4 linked regions of the Drosophila melanogaster genome follow. The protein of the gene in region 4 purifies or fractionates together with the protein of the main gene of each other region. This does not show direct contact. Each region holds a gene or a part of one and is shown on either strand. Other genes may lie near its edges. The genes, in order: Cyp4g15, PSMG1, CG13319 and Prosbeta3.

Region 1 (9,442 bases), on a different chromosome or scaffold from region 4:
ACCAATTTACATTGCCAGCTGGTACAGTGTTGGTTAATGCTACGAATGGCGCGCATATTTGAATTTTAAGACGCATAAAATAGAAGACGAGTAATAACAGCAACCAAATGGCTGTCAACTCCATTTGCTGTATGAAAACATTTAAATTTCCCACTAAAATCCATTTGTATAATTACACAAAAGATTTATTGTCAAAATCATTACACACAAATAGGTATTATAATTATTAAATAACCAAAAAAAAAAAAGAGGAGTAGAACAATTAAAGGAAGATGACGATAGTTGTGGTTGCTTTTTGTGTTAAATGCGTCAAAAAAATAATCATTATACTATTCAATAAATCGAGTGTGGGAGCACGTTTATTATTATTTAATATTATCAATATTACTGTATAAACCGGTGACTATCACTTGCCAACAAGTGGAGTTATATGTATGGATAAGTGTCCGTTCTGTGTAGCTTATTGTTTGCGGTGTACGGTGTATGGTGTGCTGCCCGCCTGTTCCGCCTGCCCCACCCGCTCCACCTGGTCCACCTGGTTCGCCTAGCTGATGTTCGTCGCGGCCACCGGGGTTCAACTGGTCCGCGGCTGGAGGCGCACGCGGAATCCCTCCTCACGCTTTAGGATGATGTCCGCCTGCAGTTTGAAGTCCGATTCGGTCAGGTCCGAGTAGACACGGTAGTTCCGCAAAATGGTCGACAGTAGGATCTTCAGCTTGAGCATCGCATACTTGCGCCCTAAAAAAATAATTATAATAAATGAAACAAAACATTATTCATATAGACGATCCGAATATTCACATAATTTGCTTCAGTGTTATATCTGCAACTCACCCACACAGCTGCGTGGTCCCGCAGAGAACGGCACAAAGGCGTAGTAGTGGCGATTGGCCTGGCGCTCCGGCAGGAAGTTGTCCGGATCGAAGACGTTGGGATTGGCGTAGACCTTCGGATTGCGATGGAGCAGGACGGTGGCCACCGTCACCGTGGCGCCCCTGGGAATCACGTAGTTGCCCGAGTTCAGCTTGAGATCCTCCTGCAGCTCGCGGGCGATCAATGGAACGGGTGGGTACATGCGCAGCGTCTCCATCAGACACCGCTCCAGATACTTCATCTCCAGTGTGTCCTGCAATCGGAATGCGGACATTTTAAGCGGTTAACGTTCAACATTCAAGAATATAACTAACTAACTATGGTGATGTGTGCGGCATTAGTTACCCACCTGAAATGTGGCCGGTCGCTGGGAGTCGCCAAAAATGGAGTCGAGTTCGGCCAGTACGCGATCCTGGATGTCCTGGTGGATGCCCATCAGCGAGAGAAAGAACGAGGAGCCGGCTGCCGTGGTGTCGTGTCCCTCGAACATGATCGTGTCCACCTGCTCCTTAATTTCCGTGTCCGTAATGAGTGCTCCATTCTGTGCACTTTCGAGCATCAAATCAAGGAAGGCCAGCCGCTTCTTCTCACCAATATCATTGTCCTCCACATCCAGGTCATCCTTGAGACCAGCCGACTGTCCATAGGACAGTCCCGCCACCGGACTGGCCTTCTCCTTATCCTTCTCCCGATCCTTCTCATCGCTGCCAGCTGTTGATGGGGTCTGGTCAACACCACCATTCTGTTCCCGTTCCCGCTCTAAGGCGGCTGCCTTCAGCTCGCACTGGGCAAGGGATCCACGGGTGCCCTGCTCAAAGGCCGCCTTCTTGCTGCGGATCACCTTGGTGGTCAGGCCGTGGATGATGTTCAGCAGGCGACCCTGCTCCTTGTAGTAGCGCGTCAGGGTGAACACGAACTCGTTGCGCAGAAAGATGCTCCGATGGCGGGCGTGAAGGATGTCGCACATCCGCATCACGGCCATCGCATACTCGAATCCCGATTTGTCCTGCGTTTTCTTCGACACACCCATCGCAGTCTCTGGAATTGCCAAAATGTAGCACCCAGAAAGGTGTGTATTTATACAAGTAGGTTTAGATTGTGATTATATTAAATAATAACTAAAAGGAAGTATAAGTATAACCTCAATATCCCATCACATTCGAATCGTACTTTTCCTTTCAGTGCAGAGACTCGTATCTGGATTTGAAGAGCAGATTGCGATCGAGATCGGATGCGAGGAGATCGGATAGAATGAGATGAGTTGGCAAGGGATGGCATGTGGATGTAGATGGGATGGACCCCCAGCACAAATGGGGGGAAGTGGAATGCACTCGCCTGACCCAAGCGCCAATTGAACTTAACAAACAGACAACAGGCGGCGGAGGTAGCCCCCGGATTCCCCGCCAGCTCACCATCCATCCACCGCCTGTCTAATTGTAGATACAATGCATAAATAGATCTATAGATGACAGCATAAACGAGCTTACGGACAAATCCGCTTCGTGTGTACAATCATGTGTGTTTTTGTGCTGTGGGAAAACTGCGAGCGTGGAATTTGGCATTTTTTTTTTTTTTTTTTTTTTTGATAAGTTCTCGATTGCCAATCACAGTGAATCACGGTCTATAACTGGAATTAAACTAAAGGAAAGTGACAGTGCAATCTGAAAACGATTTGAAAGATTCAAGTTGCAAATGAGATAGGTCAGTAAATTTGAATAGGTTCGTGTAAATAGCATATCTAAAAATTAAACTGCTAAATTTGAGTTTTGCTCGTGCGGAAAAGGAATACGAAAATCTGGCTTATGCAATGACACATTTGAGTTTTTCCTGTGGAAACTCGCCCGGATTTTCATTCGCATTTCGCTTGGCATTTGGGTTCGTTTCGTTGAGTTCTTAATTGCTAATTGCCCGTTTGCGTCAGACCCAGACCCCATACCCCAGACTAATAATCGCCGTGAACAACAACCTCAGTCGTTGCATTCAAATTTTCCTTATTAAATGCTTAATGGCAGTGCGACGTGGCTTTAATTGCACTACTGACTGCGAATCCCGCATTCGTTGCGTTGCATTTTCATTCGCTGCATTTCGGTTCGGTTTGGTTCGGTTCGGTTCGCCTCGGTTCCATCACATCACATTACATCGTATCCAATCCAATCCAATCCAATCCAAGGCAATTGAATTCTGCAATCTTGGCTGCATTTCAATTGTGCAGGGCTCGGATTATTATGCAATGGCCTACAAATCAATCCCAAATCGGCCGAGCACTACGAGCTCCACAATGTCATTAACATTGGCCACCAGCCAATTTTGTCTAGGCTCTTGCCGGTTTCACTTTTCACTCCAGGCCCAAAACGTGTCTGGCTTTAAGCGAATTGCCATCTGGGTGCCATTGGTATGATGATAAACAAGACCATTTGGGTGGGCCAAAACCTATAGGTATTACCTTAACCTGCATCTAGAAATATGAGGTTGTTTATTGCTGATAGAACTTGGATCTTTCAGATATCTCGGTGTAATATTCCCATTAAACTGAAACTGAAACTATTGTTAAGCTTCTATAAAGCTTAAATATGGAGGACATACAATATTTGTATATGCCATATGTTTTTGCTATAACTTTCAAATTCCCAAATAAATTTGTCCTACTTTGAGCTACAATAGTTATGTTTTGAATATGCTGTAAATTTACTCTATATAAGATATCGATTATCTTTTTAACTGATCTTCGATTGTTTGTTTTAACTTAGTAAGAACCCCTACTTATGGAATTTTCATAACCAAGCAACATGATCGTTTGGGGTACAAATCCAACCAGTTTGCATCAGTTTGGCATAATTCGGTTAAATCTGGGGGCTGGGATTTGAAATATATATATACATATATATATCTATATATATATATATCTTTATATGCAAAAGCACATGTATGTATATGCTCATTTGCTCCCATTGTGGGGCCACAACAAAAGCGGCAAATTTTTGATTTGCCAGTATATAGGGAAATGGGTCTGCACTCAATTGTGTGTGGCATACAATATAATGTGTCCATATCCACGGCGTTTCTAGCGGGGATTAGGTGGCTTGGGCGCACGCATATAACTGAAATGATGATGATGATGCTGGATTGTATGCTCATGGTATGCTATAGTATCGTATCGTACTGCGTGGTATGATGGTATGTCATGGAATGGTATGGGTATTTCGGATGATCGTTGCGATTGCGAGTGCGTGTGGGTTGACTGTACTTTAGTGTAATCATAGTATGGCTATCTCTATCCCCATATCCGTATATCGCACCTATCTGTATCTGTATATCTGTATATGAATGTATCTGTACATCCATCTATCTGTATATCTGTTCACTTACCCAATAGAATCTCCACGGTTGCCTCGCTCATGTAATCATGGCAATCAAAAGTGCGACCATCCTCCGCACGCAGTTTCCTCACCACATTACGCGAGTTCTCGTTGAACAACTCGATGAAGCTCTTCAAGACATTCAGATGGAATGTGGGTGCAATCAGTTTGCGGTGCGATCGCCATTTTTGACCTGCAACAATAGATGGAGCGGGAATGTAGAACCGATCGTACATACAAGATATTCTTACAAAAAAAAAAAAACCAAAAAAAAATTGGACATTACATTACAAATTTGTTCATGATTATCACTCAAGCTAATAAATAATAGTACTTTTTTCTTACATGTCTGTCTAAATTGAAAATCATCATGTGTAATATTATTTATCATATTATCATTTTGAACTTATTACATTTGAAATTGGTATATCTTCAGTGCAAACGACTGTGCATTTTTTTTCCGTGACTTTTCTGCGACGTTGATTTTATTTATAGCGGCATTGTTGTGCCAACTGTCAGGCTAGCGGATCGCTTAATTAATTTATGATTTCGCAAATTGCATTAGTGGCAAGTGGACACCACCCCTTAAATGTGGGAGGCTTTCCCCCTCAAAACCCCACCTCACCTGTGCTGATCAGCAGTCCGTCGCCCAGCCAGGGCTTGAAGAACTTGTACTCGGATGCCTTGTCGATGTAGACATGGCTGCTCAGCAGCAACTCCACGTCCCGCGGATCGTAGATGAAGACCACCAGCTTGGGCCCGATCCACATCTTGGCTATGTGCTCGAAAGGGGCGCTTTTGCGGATGACTGTTCGGAAAACAGCTGCGGGGATACACGGATTAATTTGGGGGATCAATTCAAAACCACGATTAATTTTTGAAAAGGATAATTAGTGCTCTAGTATGTGTTATATTTTAAAAGTCAGAAATAAGTTCTTTCTTAAAATAAAAAGGAGAAGAATTTTCATTTCACTATTATTCGGAAACTTTATTCCAAGTGACTAAAAACTAATAATCAATGTTTAAAATTTTGGAAAATGCATGATAATTACTTTTAAATCAGAATTAAAGTTTCGTTTGAAGTAGAACTTCAAATAAATGTGTGTACTTTCAGAAGTGTTTTAAAAAGATTTCAAACGAGTATTATATTTTAAGTTTCAAAAATGCTTTTCTTTAAGTTTAAAGTTTGTTCCAAATTGATTTCTCAATAGCAGCAGGATTTCTTTTGAAATGTATTGAAAATTAAATATTTTTATGTGATTTGAATTCAATTCGGAGTTTGCCTGATAATCCGTATTTAAAACTGGTTATCCTCGTTTTTTTTTTTTCACTGGCTGCTTAACCCTTATGCCTGCTAAGGGGCTATGTCGCACCCTTTCCCGCGAAAAAAATGGCACTTAGTCTAGTGGATTTACATGAAGCGGGTCCAATCACATCGAACAGATGACCCACGATGGGCAGTCCCCGTGGTCCCGGCAGTCGTCCGGCCAACCTGTACAGGTGAGCCCGCGATAATCGCCAGTAGATGTACCAAAGCACCAGCGTGGGCAGCAGCAGGAAGTAGAAGACGCTGCTGGGTGAGCCCAGGGCGGCGTCCTTCTTCAGCACCTCCATTGCTTGTCGGGATCCTCTTTCTCTTGCTCTCTCTCTCACACACTCTCCCCCTCTCTCTCACTCTCTCTCTCTCTCTCTCTGTTTCGATCGGTCAACAATGTTCACCAGGTCACAGAAAAAACACCAAAACAAAAAAGAAAACCAATCGATCGGCGCACGCACACTTCCCACACAGTACACACGGATCGATCAGCTATCCATGGGCTGGGTTGGATTGGGTTTTGCGGATCGGATCGGATCGGATCGGATAGGATCGTATCGGATCGGTGGACCGGATGTTACTCGCTGCTCGGCCAGCGCACAACTAAACGGTGACAGCCCCTCGCCGAGGCAACCAGCGCGAAATGATCGCGTATATCAACCCACACACAGGGGATGCGATGCGATGGAATGGGATGGGAACGGAGCGATGCGAAGAGGATCGGACCGGATCGGATGGCGGAGTTACGGACTCGGAATCGGCTGGATATGTGTATAAATTAGATACGTTGGACCCGCACTCGCACTCCTCGCGCCTCTTTTCCAGCGACTAGACAGCGGCGACGGTGCGAACGACTTTTATAGCCAACAATGTGCAGCATATGTGCACTGCGAACAAAAATTGTGCACTCAGCTCGCAAGCAAATGCGACGGCTTGTTAAAAGTTGCGCAATTACTAACTTAAATATTTAACAAAAATATTCTAGAATCCTTTTGTTGTTCAATTCATATGCATATATTTCCATGTGGCATACCCTTCGAATTTTTCATGATCTGAGCACGAATGGTGGCAACTTTTCTCACAGTGCTCGAGTAAATAACTGCGGTATGGAATTGGGGTGGTTCTCTGTAGAATTGGATCATGTGAATCGGAACTCAGGTCTTCTCTAAGCTCATCCCGGTGAAAGTTCCATTCGTCACGAGAATTGAGCTTCAAAACCGAGTGACGAAATTAGCCAAAGCTTTTGAGCAGAAAAACGAATGATCAAAGTGAAAAATCATTTCGATATGTATCTCTTGGGTTAAAAACGCTTGCAGATTGTTGAAGTCTTTTTCTTGGTTTATTTTTAAGATGACATTTATGCATGGTATGGACAAGAGTTACGATTAAGATTACGAATAACCTAAGCTACCTCATACGGTTAGAATTACTCAAAAAAAAAAAGATTTTCTATTACTATAGATATTAAATCACCTGCCGTGCTTTGCATGTGTGTGTGTCTGTGTGTGTGTGTGTGTGTGTGTGTGTGTAAGAGTGACCTCAGTACGTATGAGCAATATTATTGCCTAGACATTTGACTATATAATAGCTATAAGTACGGACACTAACTTATGGAAGTCTGGCAGTGCTACAGTAGCCAGTGTCCACTGTAACATGTGGTTTACGATCGGCAGCCTAACTACAATTGATATTTCGCTTGATATATGTATATATATATTTTTTTTTTGCTTTTCTGCCTGCTCGCCCAAAACTATGCAGCACTTTTTTCATCGATGGAAGCTCAATCTCGCTGTCTGGTTTCTATCCCTCCTTTCCGTCTAAACGGACGACTCGTATATGACGATCTGCAGGACCTTCGGCTTGTTGTTCTGCGCCTCCTTCACCTCCTTCAAAATGGCATTCGTGATGGCTTCCAGGGCCGCAATATCGGGACTGTGCTCATTCTTCTTACTATTCCATTTGGGCATGGACACCTGGTGGTAAACCTTCATTTAGTATCGTATGTTTGTGTTTATTTTGTGAGAATCATCATACCGTAAGCACCTTCTGCAGGGCTGTATAATCGAGGCCCGTGCCGGCTGTTTCGCCCAAGCGACGCAGAGTCTCCGCCATGGGACCAGATAGCTCCTGGAAAATAGTTAAATTTGGTAAATAATACAATAAAAATAGTGTATACTTGTAGAACCCACCTGCAGCTTGGCCCAACTGGTGGCATATTGCCTTCGCACCAGCTCAATGATGGTCGATGTCAGGGCCAGGCCAATAAGAATATACAATGTGCACAGTAGCATGTAGTTGGGTTTCTCTGAAGAGTATGGCAAAATGAAGTAAATACACACTTGGGTGCTCCAACAACCTACTTGGCACCAAATCACCGAATCCGATGGTTGTCATGGTGATGAAACAAAAGTAGAAGCCATCGAAGAATGTCCAATCATCTTCCCAAAGCAGGAGTAGACCAGCTCCAGCGGCCAAGTAAACGCCCAGAAAGCCGACGGCCAAAATGGCATAGAACCAGGTTTTGCCAATAAAGTTGGTAAACTTTGGTTTCGCTAGGGTGTTTAAATAATAACATATGCATTAATATTATTAATAAAGTATTCATTCAGCTGCAGCGTCTTCACGCATCATTGCAATAATTACACAAATGAAATATGCTCACAAAACCAACGGTGCGTATGCGCAATGCTTTTCAATGCAGTCGCATTATTAACGCTCATACGCACTGTGTACGATTGTGTTTTTATGCCTATGTTATTATTGTATATTACCATTTAATTATCACATTAATTGGGAATTGTTTTTGGCTAAGCACTCTACATACATATTTTCAGTTGGTTTTTAATATGTTTTAGTTACTTACTGGGCATATGTTTGCCAAAAACAGAGACTGCGGTAGCAAACAGTCGACCCCAATCGGCAATCACGGTGAGGGTGAACGGGATGCCGATGAGGGCGAAGCAAATGCAAAACACCCGACCACCGGTCGTCACTGGCACAATATTGCCATAGCCTGAAATAGTTGAATAACAATAGAAATTCATTACTTTAATCAGGCTTACAGAAAATATTCACATTTTTGGCCACAACATTGGAAATAATGGTCCAAATATGGATTGTTATACCTCGTTGAGTTCGTATTTAAAATTCTAAACAAACTGTGTTTAAAATTTGGAATTTTAATTTTTCGCCATTTTTCGCAAATTTTGATGATGTTACCCCTTACCGAAAATGCGAAAATCGACCCAAAAATTAATTTTTCAAAAACCGTCAAAAAGTCTTAGGGATAGTTAGTAGTGGTAATTATCTGCACAAAACAGTAATTCCTGCTCTTATATGACCATTTTAAGATAAGTTATGAGAAAAACACTCTTTATATTCTTATTGATATGTTATGTTGTTATGGTGTCTTCCATCCCTTGAGTATCTTTTTCGTTATTTGACTTAATTAATGAATAACTTAAGGTGCATCGCTCACCTATGGTGGTTAACACAGTCGATGAGAAGAACACAGCTTGCAGGATGCTCCATCGCTCGTAGGGCTCTGGAAAGTCTTTGTCGGCCACAATGAGTAGCCCTCCCTCAGCCGCCTGTTGAACGGCCTGCAAGATTGGTTTTGTTATCAGTGGTGGTTAGCTTGGGGTTTTTTAAAGGGAATGCCAACCGCTTCGTATTTGGCCAGTTCGAAGGACAACAGCTCGTCGAGATTGTGCACTTCGGTGTTGTTCAATATGGTGTGCAAAAAGCGCTCCCTGTGCGTTTTCACAATATCCTTCAGATGCGAAAGGCGCTCCACTTCCGCAGGACGTTCTAAATGGCGAAATATCTGATGGAAATGTGTAAAAAGTTACTTAATACTTTTAATCTTCAACTAGTAAGTTTACACTAAATAAATAAG
Region 2 (4,715 bases), 3.2 Mb from region 4:
AATACTGGGATAAGTGCTATCAGCAGAATCCCGCACATTTGTCCAAATACAATCATCCGAAAAAGCAACAAGAACACGAAGTGGACGGCGCAGAAGGCAAAAAAGTGGCGCCAAAAAGAAGTGCATCCTCGCAGTCTGGTGAACAGAAAAAGGAAGAACAAACGGAGCCGGTGAACAAGGATAAGTCCAATACGAGTGCTTCAAGTACGGAGATGGTGAACAAGGATACAGCCAAGGGCAGTTATGAAGCCGAAACCGAGGAGCTTCACAAAGAGGCCATGAGCAACATATCCGGAAAGAACTACATGGAGATCTTGGAGAAGCGCATCCGCCTGTCCGTGCAGAAGGAGTACGACAATCTCTGCGAGTCCAACGAGTTCATTCGACACAAGTTCCTTGTCGAAATGCCGCCGGACTTCTACGAATTTTGGAAGTTTGTGGGAAGCTTAAAAATTGATCCTGCGAAGCCCAAGGATGCTGGCTTGGAGCACCTAGACAAAGTATTTCAACTGCAGTTGGTGGGTCCCTTTGAGTTCCTAGCCGGTAAATTTCACGGCGCCAAACTAGGCGAACCGGGAGACTACCTGCGCCACTGGCGTTTTTACTACGATCCACCAGAATTTCAGACGATCTTCGTGCGCCGAGGCACTGGGATTCACTACGGTTACTGGCGCGATGTGCCGCAGGACAAGGAAAATCTCTTAATAGCCCGCAACGACTCTGCGAAAGGCTGCCAGTTCCAATTCGTCGCTGGAAATGCCTTCGATGCTTTCCTCTACTACCTGGAGCACGATTTTGCGGCCACTCCGTTCTCATGCGGGCAGTTGGCGGGGACCAAAAAGGCGGTGGCAAAATACCTGAGTGACAATTCCCTAGAACTGGCCCAGCTGGACCGACTGCAGCGGGAGCGCAACAAGCGTGTTGTGGCCAAGACATTCCACCGAGCCGGCATTGTTGTGCCCTTTGACCAGAAGACAGAAGTGGGATACCGCCCGCTGGCTGTCAGCGATTCCGAACTCAAGAAGATGCTGGCAATGCTTGAGCGGAAGGACGTCGATAATGGAGCCGCCAAGCAGGCGGTTCTGGAGAAGCTGCAGCCGGTGGCCAACGCAGCCAACATAGCAGTTGATGAATCGGACTTTGGAAGCGCCCTGGAACTAGGCATCGATATGTTCTGCAGTGGGCACAAGGAGCTGCACATGCTTGCCTCATCGTTGCTGGTACCCGCCTATTCAATGCTTTCCCGTCCACAGTTCATAGCCATCGCCAAGGCGCACATGGAGCAACGTAGTCGGGAGGACAACCTCAGCATTTTTGATGTACTTAAGTAGTTCGATTTTTATTCCGCAACCGTATCATTTTTACAAGCATTAAAACTAGGAAGTTGAGCACAGCCAAAAGTAGTTTCACATGTACAAATAAGAGCTCTCCTTCCGCGGAGGGATGTAGCTCGAGCTGCAGGCAACGCCCGCGGCTTTAAGTACCTTGATCACTGGCTGCGCAGCTGTGGCGTCGAGGGGCAGCTTGTCGGTGTAAATAACGAAAGAGGTAACAGGCAATTCCATCTGATCCCGCCAACTGGCAACTGCAAAAAAAGGTGAACAGATGGTGAGGTGATTCAACCTTCTCCTTTTCCACTCATCACTCACCGCCTGCTGCAACTCCAGCGATAAAGTTGGGAGCCTCTAGTTCAGTGATATCCTTCTGGTTGGCACCTATGCCGCGGACAACGGCAATGTGATCCCGGTAGAGCTGGATGTCCTCGCTTTTGAACTCGACCTTTGGCTTAAGCGTCAGAGTGATCACTTTCTTGGCAAGCTTCACGTACGGCAGTAGGAGCTCCGCTACCTCGCCGCTACTGGTCAGGTCCTCGTTGATTATGGCCAGCAACTGTTTGGACGAATGACTCCAGTGCAGGGTCGAGTTATTGGCAGGAATGGCGCACACACGCTTTGCATCCTTTTCCAGCAGAGAAGAGGCGAAGTGAGTGACGTTGACGCCCTCAATGACCACCAGCATCTCGCTCTCCACAGGGGCAGCTTCCCCATCGCAATCATCATCAAACTTCAGCTGCAGCCTGCGAATCCAAGAAATTAGGACTACCTACGTAAATAACATTAGATCACGCACTTCTCCACCGGCTTAAGGTTCTCCAATTCATCCTCGTCGCAGTCGTCCCAGAAGGCACGCGACGAGGGTATATTTAGTTCTCCAAATCCTGGACAGCTCATCGTGTCTGTTTTGATTTAATAAAAAAGGTGAAACTAATATGATGAGCCTAATTCCGGTCACTATGTTTTTTTCAAGTCATCAGTGTGACCATGTGCTGAACGCCAAAATAAACGTTTTTCTATTTGAATAAATTACATTTGCAGGTAATATTTAGGAACTTTTAGCGCTTTTTCTGAACTTATTAGGGCTTGGCATGTCAATTAAAGATTTAACAATAAGCTAATTCCAAAATTATGTATTGACAATATTGTTTGGGGGTTTTGAGAATTGATGGAAGTTACGCCCACTGAGCAAGGGAGAAATCAAACTTCAATTGTTAGTTCTAGTCGAATATTAAAACAAATGTGGTTCCAGCTTATTGGTTTTGCCTGATTAAATATTTTCGACTCTTCCGTTTTTTTTTAAGTTGAAACAAAAAATTCCGCACAGGTTAATAAAAATACCAGATCAGCATCGCAGCAGAAGCAGCGCTCAAGCACGGTCATACTGAATACAAAAAATGCAAGATGCAGGTCCATATTCGAATTGGAAAACCACTTTGATCGCTAATTAGAAACAGATTAAGAACCTCACGTCGGTGAAAATATTCCGTAGGGCAGCGCGCTAGGACAGGTCTCAAATTTTTTGGTTAGCAGTGGGAGCAAGCGCGCAAACCAGCGCCATGAGAAAGCGAAGCTCACGTTGTAACTCTGACACTTTCAAGGAGGAGCAGATGGACCACAACGGTGACGACATCAGCCTGCTGCAGCGGCCGCTGCGCACCGCCCACACGGGATTCGAGGAGGCCCGTCGGGCCTATGAGGATGGCACCAGCGAGGTGAGTCTCATCTGAGTGGAGTACGTGACTCAATTGTGGCCCGCAATGGCGGAGGCTCCTGCGCCCCAGTTTGGTGGATCCCCGGATAACAATCAGATTCTCCCACAGGTGCGCCAGCTGCTCAGTCTGGAGTGCAGCCTGATCTACGAGTGCAAGGTGTGCCGCAACATGTTTCGCAGCCTGGCCAATTTCATCAGCCACAAACGCGTCTTTTGCTGCGTCAGCGCTCGTTCGGCAAATGGCAGCGGATACACAGTGAGTGGGCAGTAAAGACAACCCCATTACAAGGTCTCTAATACCATAGGATGTCAACTAATCGCTGTTAATTCTCCCCCAGGATCAGAATTCCACTATGATCATACAAACGGGTGGTGGTCCGTCCCCGCAGGACATTGAACATATGCTACGCAGCAGAAGCACGGGATGCTCGCCTGTTCCCCGCGACGTGCGTCCCTTACGAGGAGGAGGTGGCGGCGGCATAAGGGACCTGAGTGGTGTTATAGAGCGTCTGCGACGGGAAAAGGCTACATCACAGGCCAAGTGCAGCTCGCCCACTGTTCTGCAGCTGGAGTCTGTGCCCAACTCTAGCCAGGCTGTTTATCAGACCATCAAAGTGGACCACGACGACAGCATAAGGACAGAACTGGACGAGGTGCATCGCATGCTTAATCCATCTGAAACCATTGTGGGACCCGACGGCAAGGCCTTGGCAACCGTTAAGCTGGAAAACAATGCAGGCAGCGACTCCGGCGAGCAGTCCATCAGCGACGAAACGGAGCCGAGTATTTTCTGCGAGATCTGTACGACTACCTAACCGAATAGGCCTTGAATACAATTAGTGATAGCTGTGTTTCCTAATCTCGTTCACAGGCAATCTGACGTTTCAGACGCACAAAACGCTTGAGGTGCACATTCAGAAGCATCACTCATCATCGGCGTTTGTGTTTCAGTGCCCAGCCTGTTCGCTGACCTTTCTGCAGGCCGCTGCTGTTATTCGTCATTTGTCGAAGGATCACAAGTAAGTTCAACTTAACCCGACCATAGAATTTTTATATTTTATTATTATAAAATATATGATATTATTCTACTTCAAGGGGACAGGTTCCTTTTTTCTTTCACATGGTCCATTTATATCTGCTTACTGCATACTGCATTCCTTATACATATATGTATATGTCAAAAATCATATTGTTTCCAAGGAAACAATCTAATTTACTTTCTATTTATGTGAATTTTTTAAGCCCTGAATCATAAAAACAGAACAACTAATAATCATAAATAAAAATATAACAGATACATTTTTATAGGGATAGTGGTTTTTCTAAAAATTATACATGCAATGTGTGAACTAATATTAATGTTGGTCCTTTTGCAATTTAATTTTTCAGGAAGCCAACTCGACGTATTCGAATGATGCGGAACACTATCCTCAAGCGACGCATTCAGCAAGGAGATGTGCAGCCGAAGGGCCCCTGCCGGGAGTTGAAGCGCCTACAGCTCTCCGACGACGTGGTGGGCTATGTCCCTGAGCCACTAGATGCCAGCGGTGAGCACCGTAAGATCATGTCTTTGTGTATCTATTGCGAAAAATCATTCGAGCGTCGCGCTGCCTTGTCAACACACCTGCTTAATTGTCGGGCGAAGCAGGAGGCGCTGGCTAAGCCTG
Region 3 (4,387 bases), on a different chromosome or scaffold from region 4:
ATAGACTTCCAAAGTCCATGTACCGCCAGCCGGGCCAGCCAGTCATCCAAGCCAGGGACATGCAACCGAGGCATGGAAGCCACAACTACTCGCACTCACATTCCGACCCGATAATTACAGATGGCTGCTCGAATTCGGCCGACTCGGATCTATTATTTATAGGGCGCTTATCGCCAGACAGCTTTTGATATGGCCAAAAAGGAAAAGTTATTAGGCAACTGGGGAAACCAAAAGCAGAAAAAAAAAAACGGGGGAAAAAAACATTCCAGACATTCGTGGGAGCCCACAGACCCCGGAGCGCAGACCTTCCGGCTGAAGCTCTATTTTTATACCCGTTCAATGGGTGCTGCTATTTTTTTTTTGGAGCGATATGCTCTTGTCGCTGTTACCACCACTGATACGCCTGACAATATCTCGTCTAGACTGGGCATTATTATGAGAGGCGAAATTTGTTTTTTTCGTACATTAGTGTTTTTCATTTTGTTGCTGCTCCCTCCCTCCCATTGGGTTGTTTAGCGGAAAAGTTTCAATGGCACCTCCAGGCGGTGTGATCCAACACAACCATAGCACAACGCTGCTGGGGGCTGTTCCATTAAAAATATGACTGGCATTCTTGGCGGGGGTAATTCAGACGTCTTATCAACCGATTTATATTTACGATTGGCGGGCAGGAAGTATAGCCAACTTTCAGTCTGAGAATGCCGATAGATAAAGGGCATTATGAAGGTGTCGCGTTGGTCCTTCAACTATCTATACCTGAGTATCAAACTGTTCAAGTTGCAGACTTTCTGTGACATAGAACCATTCTGAAATAGTGAATAGTGACTTGGATATTTTGGATATCGCAATCATTATAATTGGGAACTCATGCAGGAAGTGACATCAACTTTTTGCTCGTGGGTAATTAGTAAAGTTGAGAGTTCCTATAGTCAGTCATCACCAATATCATTTTTTCAAAAGCTAAACGAACTGTAACAAGAGATATAATATTTTCAACCAGTATTATTCACACAAATTTAGAAGCTTGTTAATCACATTGTGAATTGTAAACCCGCTAGTTAATACATACATTTGATAGTGGTATCCTACTAACTTTTCGAATAGTTCAAATTAACAACATAAAAACAAATCTAATGATATTATTTGTCAGAGGTATTCAGTGATCAAACTGAAATGGTACCCATTTGGAAAACTTCCGAATGATTATTACATATTAACTTCTCCCTAAACCTAAACATTCATTCGAAAGGGAAACCGAAACGGAGGCCTGATGAACAAACCGGCGCAATGCGAACACACACATATGTATATTCGAATTTAATACGATGGCGGGGAAATCACCTATCAAGCGATCATCACTGCAGCCAAACTGACCTTCAAATCATTGGGTGGTGAAGCAGCAGCATGAATAGCATGCGGGTGGCACGCGATCACTCACACAGCGGGTGACTTCTTCTTACATTGAGCACTGCTATCGCGACACAATTGATAAAGCCCACATGCGTCTGTAAACTTACTTAGGGCAATAAATTTATTGTACAAAATTCGTATCACCGATACACGTTTAAAGTTCGTGCTCACTCGGCCGCCGCATGACGTCTGAGCGGAGATCGGGAATCGGAGATCCCAGATAGTTAGCTGATGGAGTGCGTAGAGTACGTGAAGCTGCGTCCGTGGGGTAGCCGCCGGTCCCCGAAATAGACGTTGACCCCCACGCGGCGCCGTGTCATCGGTAGCGCAGGCGGGCCCTGTGTGCACGTGAACCAGAAATAAGTCAGCGATTGAGGATTAAATTTATGCCACACTAAGTTGTTGTACCCACTCAAGCGAAGTGCTCCAGATGGTCTTGCATGTAGGTGACTAGCGTCTTCTCGAACAGAGGGCCCATTAATCGATCCAGTTTGAGATTAAGGCTCACGTAGAACTGGCGGCAGTAGCGTTTACTCAATTTGGCGGCCAGAACAGATGAGTCGGTCTGCCCGTGTCCGCCCAGGATTGTGGAGGATAGGGACTGGCTGCTGGCGGGATTGCGAGAGGGCATGGCCACCGCTAGCTCCTCGAAAACCTCCAATCCCTTGGGGTTTATGATCAGCATGGTGCTGCCTTGCATTTTCAGGGCGCGCACGGTGAATTGCGAGGGACCCGCCGCCAAGTGGACGCAATGTGAGGTGAAACCACCAGACTCCTTCGCAGGCACAACATTCGCAGGAACGCTATCCATTAGTCGTGAATTTTATACATAAACAAGCAATATTCACAAGGAAAACAATGAAATAGCAAGTTTGACCGGAGCGGTGTTGCCAGATAACGAAACGACCATAGATAGCTTTTCAAAATAATCGAAAATTGTATCGATAGGCAGCTATTACAGAGCTTAGGCGCGGATTTTAAATTTGCATTACTCCCTCAAAAGCCAATGAAAGTCAGTTTGATTTCGCCGTTCGCAGTGTTGGTTGCATTTATTAAGGCTCTATTTAATGTGGGCGAGTTTTTTAATGTTTACGTTGGTTGAGTTAAATACATATATACGATATTTTGTTCACAATTACATTCAGATTTTGTTTTGCTCTCTTCGGCGCGCGTCGATTGGTTTTTCCTTTTCTATAATGTTAATGTTGTCGCTTTGATTTGACCTACTTATTTAAATACACAAAAGGGAAATCGTCGAGAGTACCAAAAAAAGGCAATTGAAATCAACGTTATTCGATTTAAAGATCAGTTCCGGTTGTTATGTTAAAAAAAAAAGATGAAATTCACTAATTATTCGTTATGCTTGAAATGTCAATGAGAATTATGATGTATGGATAAATATCGGTTATATTTGACGTCTATTGCGCTTTATTTATTGATAATTGATTGTTAATGTTCTTTGAATTTGTTGGATATCAAATAATTTTGATTAATTTTTTTTGTTTTGTTTTTCTTTTTTACTATAATTTGACTAAGTTTTGCAACCGCGATTTCAAACTTCCACCCTGATGGTATTTTGTTTCTTATTTTTCGTGTTTTGTTAGTTTTGTTGTTTTTCATCATGTAATCATTATCGATTTGTGAATAAATATTGGAAGTGATAAACATATAGCGCTGTTATTATGCGGGACTGCGTTGCTTTCTAATCCTCATCGTCCTCAGATTCGGCCTCCTGCAGCCAAGTCAACCAGGCGTTCACTTGGAACAAAGCGGATCCTTTGCCTGGATATTTGTCGGAAATCTCCTCCTTCCACAGGACGAATGCCTCCTCCTCTATAATTTCAGATTCGTAAAGATACTTGAACCAACGGCACAGCATGCCTAACGAAGAAAAAAGCAAATATAAGTTGCCGATAAAACAGATTAGATTTAAAATGTTGAGCACTTACCCTTGGGGAAATTTTCATTGTAGCAGAACGTTTGCAGAGCATAGAGAGCCATCAACTGAAGCTCGTTCTGTCCCAGGAAGGTCTGCAGCATCTGGCTGTAGTTCTCCAGCAGCTGTTGCTCCTTCTGGGTCACCGATTTCTCAGGGTGCTCCTTGGGGTCGAGGTTGTCCGCCAGCGTCGTCTCCTTGGTCACATACTTGACCACCACGGTCATTAGGGCTTGGATAAAGCCCGGGTCCTTGTAGTATTTGTTGTCAACGTTGGCCTTGATCCACTTGTAGAAGTTGTTGGGGTTCGGGTCGCTTTGCAGCTGTTTTAGCATCTCGGCCTGTACCTTCAATAGCGGATAAAGGAAAGAAAGCTTGCGATCCTCGAGTATCCCGGCCAAGCGCTCCTTGTTCCGATCCGCCTCCGGCAGGCTGTTCATAAGATCAACTTTGCTCGCCCGGAATTTCTCTTCCAGCGCATCCTTGCCGATGACCTTGACCAGTTGCTGCAGCACGAGCAGGAACAGCGGATAGTGTTGGCCATTGTCCGTGAAGTTGGCGATATCGCTTAACTTCAGCAATGCTGGCTCGCAAATTGTCTTTGCCAGCAAGCTGGCTACAAGACTAACGATTCGGGGATTGAGTGCCTCTCGCTCGTTCATCTTGTTGACCACCTGCTTGAAAATCTCGACCACGATGTTCGGCTTGATATTGGATTGCTTGCGCAATGTCTGCAGAAGGCGCACAGCACGCTCCAAGAAGACATCGTTTACACGGTCCAAGACCTCCATCAGCAGATTGATGCACACATCCTTCAGCGCCTTCTCTGGCAGCTTAAGCTCGAGGAAACCATCTACAAGCTTGGTGAAGCGATCTGGAGTGGTCACAGGTATTGCAGCATCTTCCTTTACCTCCGAGACTTCAACTGGAGCAGCGTCGGCCTCCTCCGTCTTTGTCTCATCAATATCCTTGATCTCAATTTCCGTCACCTCTGCATCCTCCTCCTCATCGTAGTAGAACCTATCCTTGAAGTACTGACTG
Region 4 (4,432 bases):
TATGCTTCCCGGAATAGTATGACCAGACCGTGTGAGCCAATAAGCTTCCTTTAGAACTTTTCGAAGTTTACAACCAGGATCAGACGAGACAGTAAAAAAATAAACAATAAAAATTGAAGTGTATCCACCTGAAAAACAAAAACACCGTTTACTTGTTGTCAATAAAGTTTAAGAATAATATCAAGTTTGAAGTCTAGACTACAATAGATGTTTATTTTAGAAAGTATTTTAATTTTACACGTTCGAGCTGCATGTTATTGAAATAATTCATTAAAGGAATTTCTTGAGGCAAGCACAGAGTCAGTTCCTATTTTGATTATGTAAATATACACGACACGCATATATGTACAATACAAGTTCCATTACAAAGAAAAATAAGCAACTACGCGATACGATAAACGAGAGTTGATTTTTGCAGAGCCAACGGAATCGTATGTCCCGTTTTGTTTATTACAAATCGTTATTTTGAACAACAACAAAATTAAGCGTGAGGAGAAACTATTATAAATATATATGCGGCCAATATTTGGCTTAATTTTGAATATCAATCGATCATCGCTCCACTTCGATTTAGCATCGCCCTACCAGCTAGTCCAGAAACATGTTGTCGTCGTCAAAGGTAAAGATGTTGTTGCGTGCTGCCTGGGCGGGATTAGCATCCGGACGTGTTCGGCCGCCTTCCGCCGCTGCCTGACTGGGATTATTAGCCGGCGAGGGATTGTCCGTTCCTGTGGCGGTGCTGGCCGATCTCCTTTCGGAATTACTGCCATCGGCCGCCATCTCTGGTCCGAAGGCATCGAGCATGACAAATTCGTCGTCCGCATCGTTGCCATCGTCTGCCAGTGACTTGCGGCATATGGGGCAGGTGCTGTGCAGGTTTAGCCAAGGCACGATGCAGTTCTCGTGATACAGGTGCGAGCAGGGCAGCTTGCGTACCGTCTCGTCAATCTTGAAGTCGTCCCAGCATATAGAGCACTGGATCTTGCGGTTTACCTCCTCGGCATTGATCTGCACATTGGGTATCTCGTTTATGCGCTGCGCCGACAATGGCGGCGGTCCTGAAGTTTCCATTTGGTTGAGCATTTGGGTGACAATGGTGTCTAGTCCCTCTCGGCCCCACGCATAATCTCCCGGGTTTCCCATGAAGAACATGTGCGAGTTACCGCCGCCGCCTACACCTCCTCCACCGGGTCCAGTTACTATTTCGGCCGTGGCGCCGGCCAGTGGCAGGCTCTGCAGAAAATCAAAGAGAACATTGTCCAGTCGGTCCAAATTTGCCGGACGCACTCGTCCGCCGGCGGTCAGGCCGCGGGCAGAGTCACTACCCGAGGGACCACCAAAGCCGCCTAGATGCAGCACGTTGCTGTGCCGTCTGTTTGGCTCGATGGTAATTTCCAAGTTGGGCACATTCCGCATGTTTAGCAGCGACACAATATCGTTACGCAGCGACTCAACATTCACCTGAGATCCGCTCGATGAGCTGCCTCTGCTCAGGGTGTCGTGTGAGCCAGAAGAGCCACTACCGCTGCTTCCGGATCTGGCACTGCCGGATGCTCCAGCCGTCGAAGAATCCATCTCCGGCGCATTTGCCGGCAGCTCCTCCACGAAACCGTTGGCGCACAGCGGACAGGTGAAGTCTGAGTTGGGAATGTTGATCTCCACGTTGCACATGTGGCAGAAGAATCGCTTGGCTTCCGCGGGGCGGTCCTCCACAACCATTGCCTCTGCCATCCTGCGGTAGGTTCTTTATTTCCTGGGCAACGGCTCCACTGACGATTGTGCAAGACTGTCGCCTTCCGATGATGTAGGCTGCTTGCGGCTGTAGACGTTGATGTGACAAGAGGAGGACAAGGTACACGCGCCTAGCTTTACCCGGTCATTGGGTTCAGTCGGAACAATTGGGAGTTTAAGGGATAGAATTTAATTTTTCTATAAATAAGGGCCCCTTACAAAGTGGCCTTTGCCGCAGAGGAGAATAAATCCCAACTGATTGACGCGGCCTGGTCACACTGAAAGCTAATACTGGCATATTAACATTTGGATCTTTTATTACTTCAAAAGGATCCAAATGATAAGAAAAATGCGTTTTAACATTCGCGGAGATATTTTTGCATTTTTAAACATTTTATAACTTTAACTTGTGTTTAAAAATACTAATACTTAAAAAATACTTAAAAAACGCGATTCTTTTTGAAATCTCTTTAGTAGGCGTTGCCAGTTCTATACAGCCAGTCAGTATTAGCCCATCTTACACTCGCAGTCTGGCAACGCAGAGCAGAAACAAAAAGTCATCTTCCCAGGCGGCTTTTAGCATTTTGCAAAATTTCCATTTTTCTGCTGATTAAATTGAGCTAAGCGAATAGCAACGACACCATGTCGATTCTAGCCTACAACGGAGGATGTGTAGTGGCCATGCGCGGAAAGGACTGCGTGGCGATTGCCACGGATCACCGATTCGGCATTCAGGCTCAGACGATCTCCACGGACTTCAAGAAGGTGTTCCACATCGGCCCACGGATGTTCCTCGGGCTCACAGGCCTGCAGACGGACATCCTTACTGTTCGCGATCGCCTGATGTTCCGCAAGAATCTGTACGAGACACGCGAAAACCGTGAAATGTGTCCCAAGCCCTTCTCGGCCATGATGTCCAGCTTTCTGTACGAGCACCGCTTTGGCCCGTACTTCATTGAGCCGGTCGTTGCTGGCCTGGATCCCAAGACCATGGAGCCTTTTATCTGCAACATGGACCTGATCGGCTGCCCCAACGCACCCGATGACTTCGTTGTGGCCGGCACCTGTGCGGAGCAATTGTATGGCATGTGCGAAACCCTGTGGAAACCCGATCTCGAGCCGGACCAGCTGTTTGAGGTCATCGCCCAGTCCATTGTGAACGCATTCGATCGCGACGCCATGAGCGGTTGGGGTGCCACCGTCTACATTATCGAGAAGGACAAGATCACGGAGCGCACACTGAAGACCCGCATGGACTAGATGATGTTAGAGGTTCCCTTGGTGATTTTGTATACATTAACCGAAATACACATACAAATAAAATTTGTTTAGGTACAACATGTGCGTATTTCTTTTCCGTATAACGTAATAACACCAGAATTAAATGCGTAATAACACCAGAATTAAATGCGATCTAATTATTGTTTTTCAATTTCAAAAGCATAACTTTAAGTCGTATTATATTATTGCTCTTCTGTCCACTCGGTGGATTTCTTGGCCAACAACATGGCAGCCTCCTCGGTTTTTGCCCCGCCAATAAATCCTGTGTGATGGATGAATTCGAGATCTTTGATGCTCGCCTTATCGCATAGTTCATCGTCCATCAGTCCGCGCCAAGGAGTGGGCAGAAATTTGCGGCCCAGATAGCTGCCAGGCGTCACTGGAACTCCGGCCACTCGCCAACTATTGCCGCTGTTGAAGACGACCAGCTTGGGCACACCCTCCACCTTGTACTCCTTTTCAAGATCGAACAGATGAGACTTCCAGGGGCAGAAATTCTTCAACACAAGAATCTCGCCGGTGGGATGGACGTTCTTGGCATTTTTAAGAGCCTCTCGTACGTGATCCCGGGCTGGAATCCAGGAACATGATACCTCCACAACGTTGTCCACAAACTCACGACCTGCAGTATCCATCGCCTGTCTGAATCGGTCTTCGATGTCTACGCCAGTTTCCTGCCAGGACGGATTCAGTTTGGCAATGCGGGCAGATAGATGAGTGGAGATTTTGTATATAGGCTCAACGCCCTCGAACATGGGCACTCCATTATCAATTGCGTCCAGTTCGTTGATAAAATTCCTATAGATCTGAATAAAGGCCGTTTGCAGGTTTTCCGGTGAGAGTTTAATTCCCTTTTCGCGCTGCAGGATGCTCTGTATAACACGCTCGCCATAGTGACAGTAGACCAGTCCAGCACTGCTTAGCCTGGAGGGGATTACATTGGATTATACGGGTTCATTTACGCTAACACCACGAATTCACCTGACAACGTTGTAGTCCTCGCTTACATCTGGGCGAACGGAACTAAAAGTCTCCTTGAAGGTTATTTGGTGGTGATCGTACAATTTCTTGGCATGATCATAAACGCCGCCCACGTCGACAATTATATCGCACTTCTCCTTCAAAGCCTTGTTGTCCCGACTGCGGAAAATCTCTGCGTTTTTGTACTCATCCAATTGCTTGAGCATAAAACATGCGACCAACTCGTCGCAGTGAAAAGTGCCGCTGTGTGTGCCGATCCAAAGGGGAGAGCGTTTTGGTGGGGTAACTCCAGTCATTATAGATAGTTTTCCTGCTTCAAAACATTCAGTTAAGCCCAGATATTTCAATTAATTTCGGATTGTAACCAAAAACTTACGAAAACGAGGTAACAATCGGAACATTAGCGACGGTCTTTTCCTCCATTTAATATCGATATCAC

What was found.
Region 1: the proteins of Prosbeta3 (region 4) and Cyp4g15 purify together in Drosophila melanogaster (affinity purification with mass spectrometry, with the first as the bait; one large-scale study listed by BioGRID). This does not show direct contact.
Region 2: the proteins of Prosbeta3 (region 4) and PSMG1 purify together in Drosophila melanogaster (affinity purification with mass spectrometry, with the first as the bait; one large-scale study listed by BioGRID). This does not show direct contact.
Region 3: the proteins of Prosbeta3 (region 4) and CG13319 purify together in Drosophila melanogaster (affinity purification with mass spectrometry, with the first as the bait; one large-scale study listed by BioGRID). This does not show direct contact.

What each region holds. Positions count from the first base shown.
Region 1 is NC_004354.4:11,473,994-11,483,435, reverse strand, and holds Cyp4g15 (cytochrome P450 4g15), read right to left. Parts: upstream 6,379-9,442; 5' UTR 5,844-6,378; coding exon 5,645-5,843; intron 5,053-5,644; coding exon 4,855-5,052; intron 4,423-4,854; coding exon 4,240-4,422; intron 1,912-4,239; coding exon 1,223-1,911; intron 1,127-1,222; coding exon 835-1,126; intron 739-834; coding exon 575-738; 3' UTR 203-574; downstream 1-202. Other genes in the region: CG43155 (uncharacterized protein), read right to left, coding at 7,362-7,517, 7,579-7,671, 7,734-7,849, 7,905-8,096, 8,408-8,557, 9,023-9,146, 9,209-9,370. UniProt on the Drosophila melanogaster protein: Probably involved in steroid hormones biosynthesis.
Region 2 is NT_033777.3:5,791,992-5,796,706, forward strand, and holds PSMG1 (proteasome assembly chaperone 1), read right to left. Parts: upstream 2,327-4,715; 5' UTR 2,232-2,326; coding exon 2,131-2,231; intron 2,078-2,130; coding exon 1,650-2,077; intron 1,586-1,649; coding exon 1,407-1,585; 3' UTR 1,332-1,406; downstream 1-1,331. Other genes in the region: Hpf1 (histone PARylation factor 1), read left to right, coding at 1-1,331; CG10979 (uncharacterized protein), read left to right, coding at 2,894-3,049, 3,158-3,304, 3,387-3,849, 3,920-4,067, 4,438-4,715.
Region 3 is NT_033778.4:12,921,783-12,926,169, reverse strand, and holds CG13319 (uncharacterized protein), read right to left. Parts: upstream 2,267-4,387; 5' UTR 2,222-2,266; coding exon 1,823-2,221; 3' UTR 1,819-1,822; intron 1,749-1,818; 3' UTR 1,506-1,748; downstream 1-1,505. Other genes in the region: NAT1, read right to left, coding at 3,113-3,291, 3,360-4,387.
Region 4 is NT_033777.3:9,004,013-9,008,444, reverse strand, and holds Prosbeta3 (proteasome beta3 subunit), read left to right. Parts: upstream 1-2,218; 5' UTR 2,219-2,373; coding exon 2,374-2,991; 3' UTR 2,992-3,132; downstream 3,133-4,432. Other genes in the region: Iru (iruka), read right to left, coding at 589-1,731; CG11980 (uncharacterized protein), read right to left, coding at 3,195-3,936, 3,994-4,306, 4,370-4,394. UniProt on the Drosophila melanogaster protein: Non-catalytic component of the proteasome, a multicatalytic proteinase complex which is characterized by its ability to cleave peptides with Arg, Phe, Tyr, Leu, and Glu adjacent to the leaving group at neutral or slightly basic pH.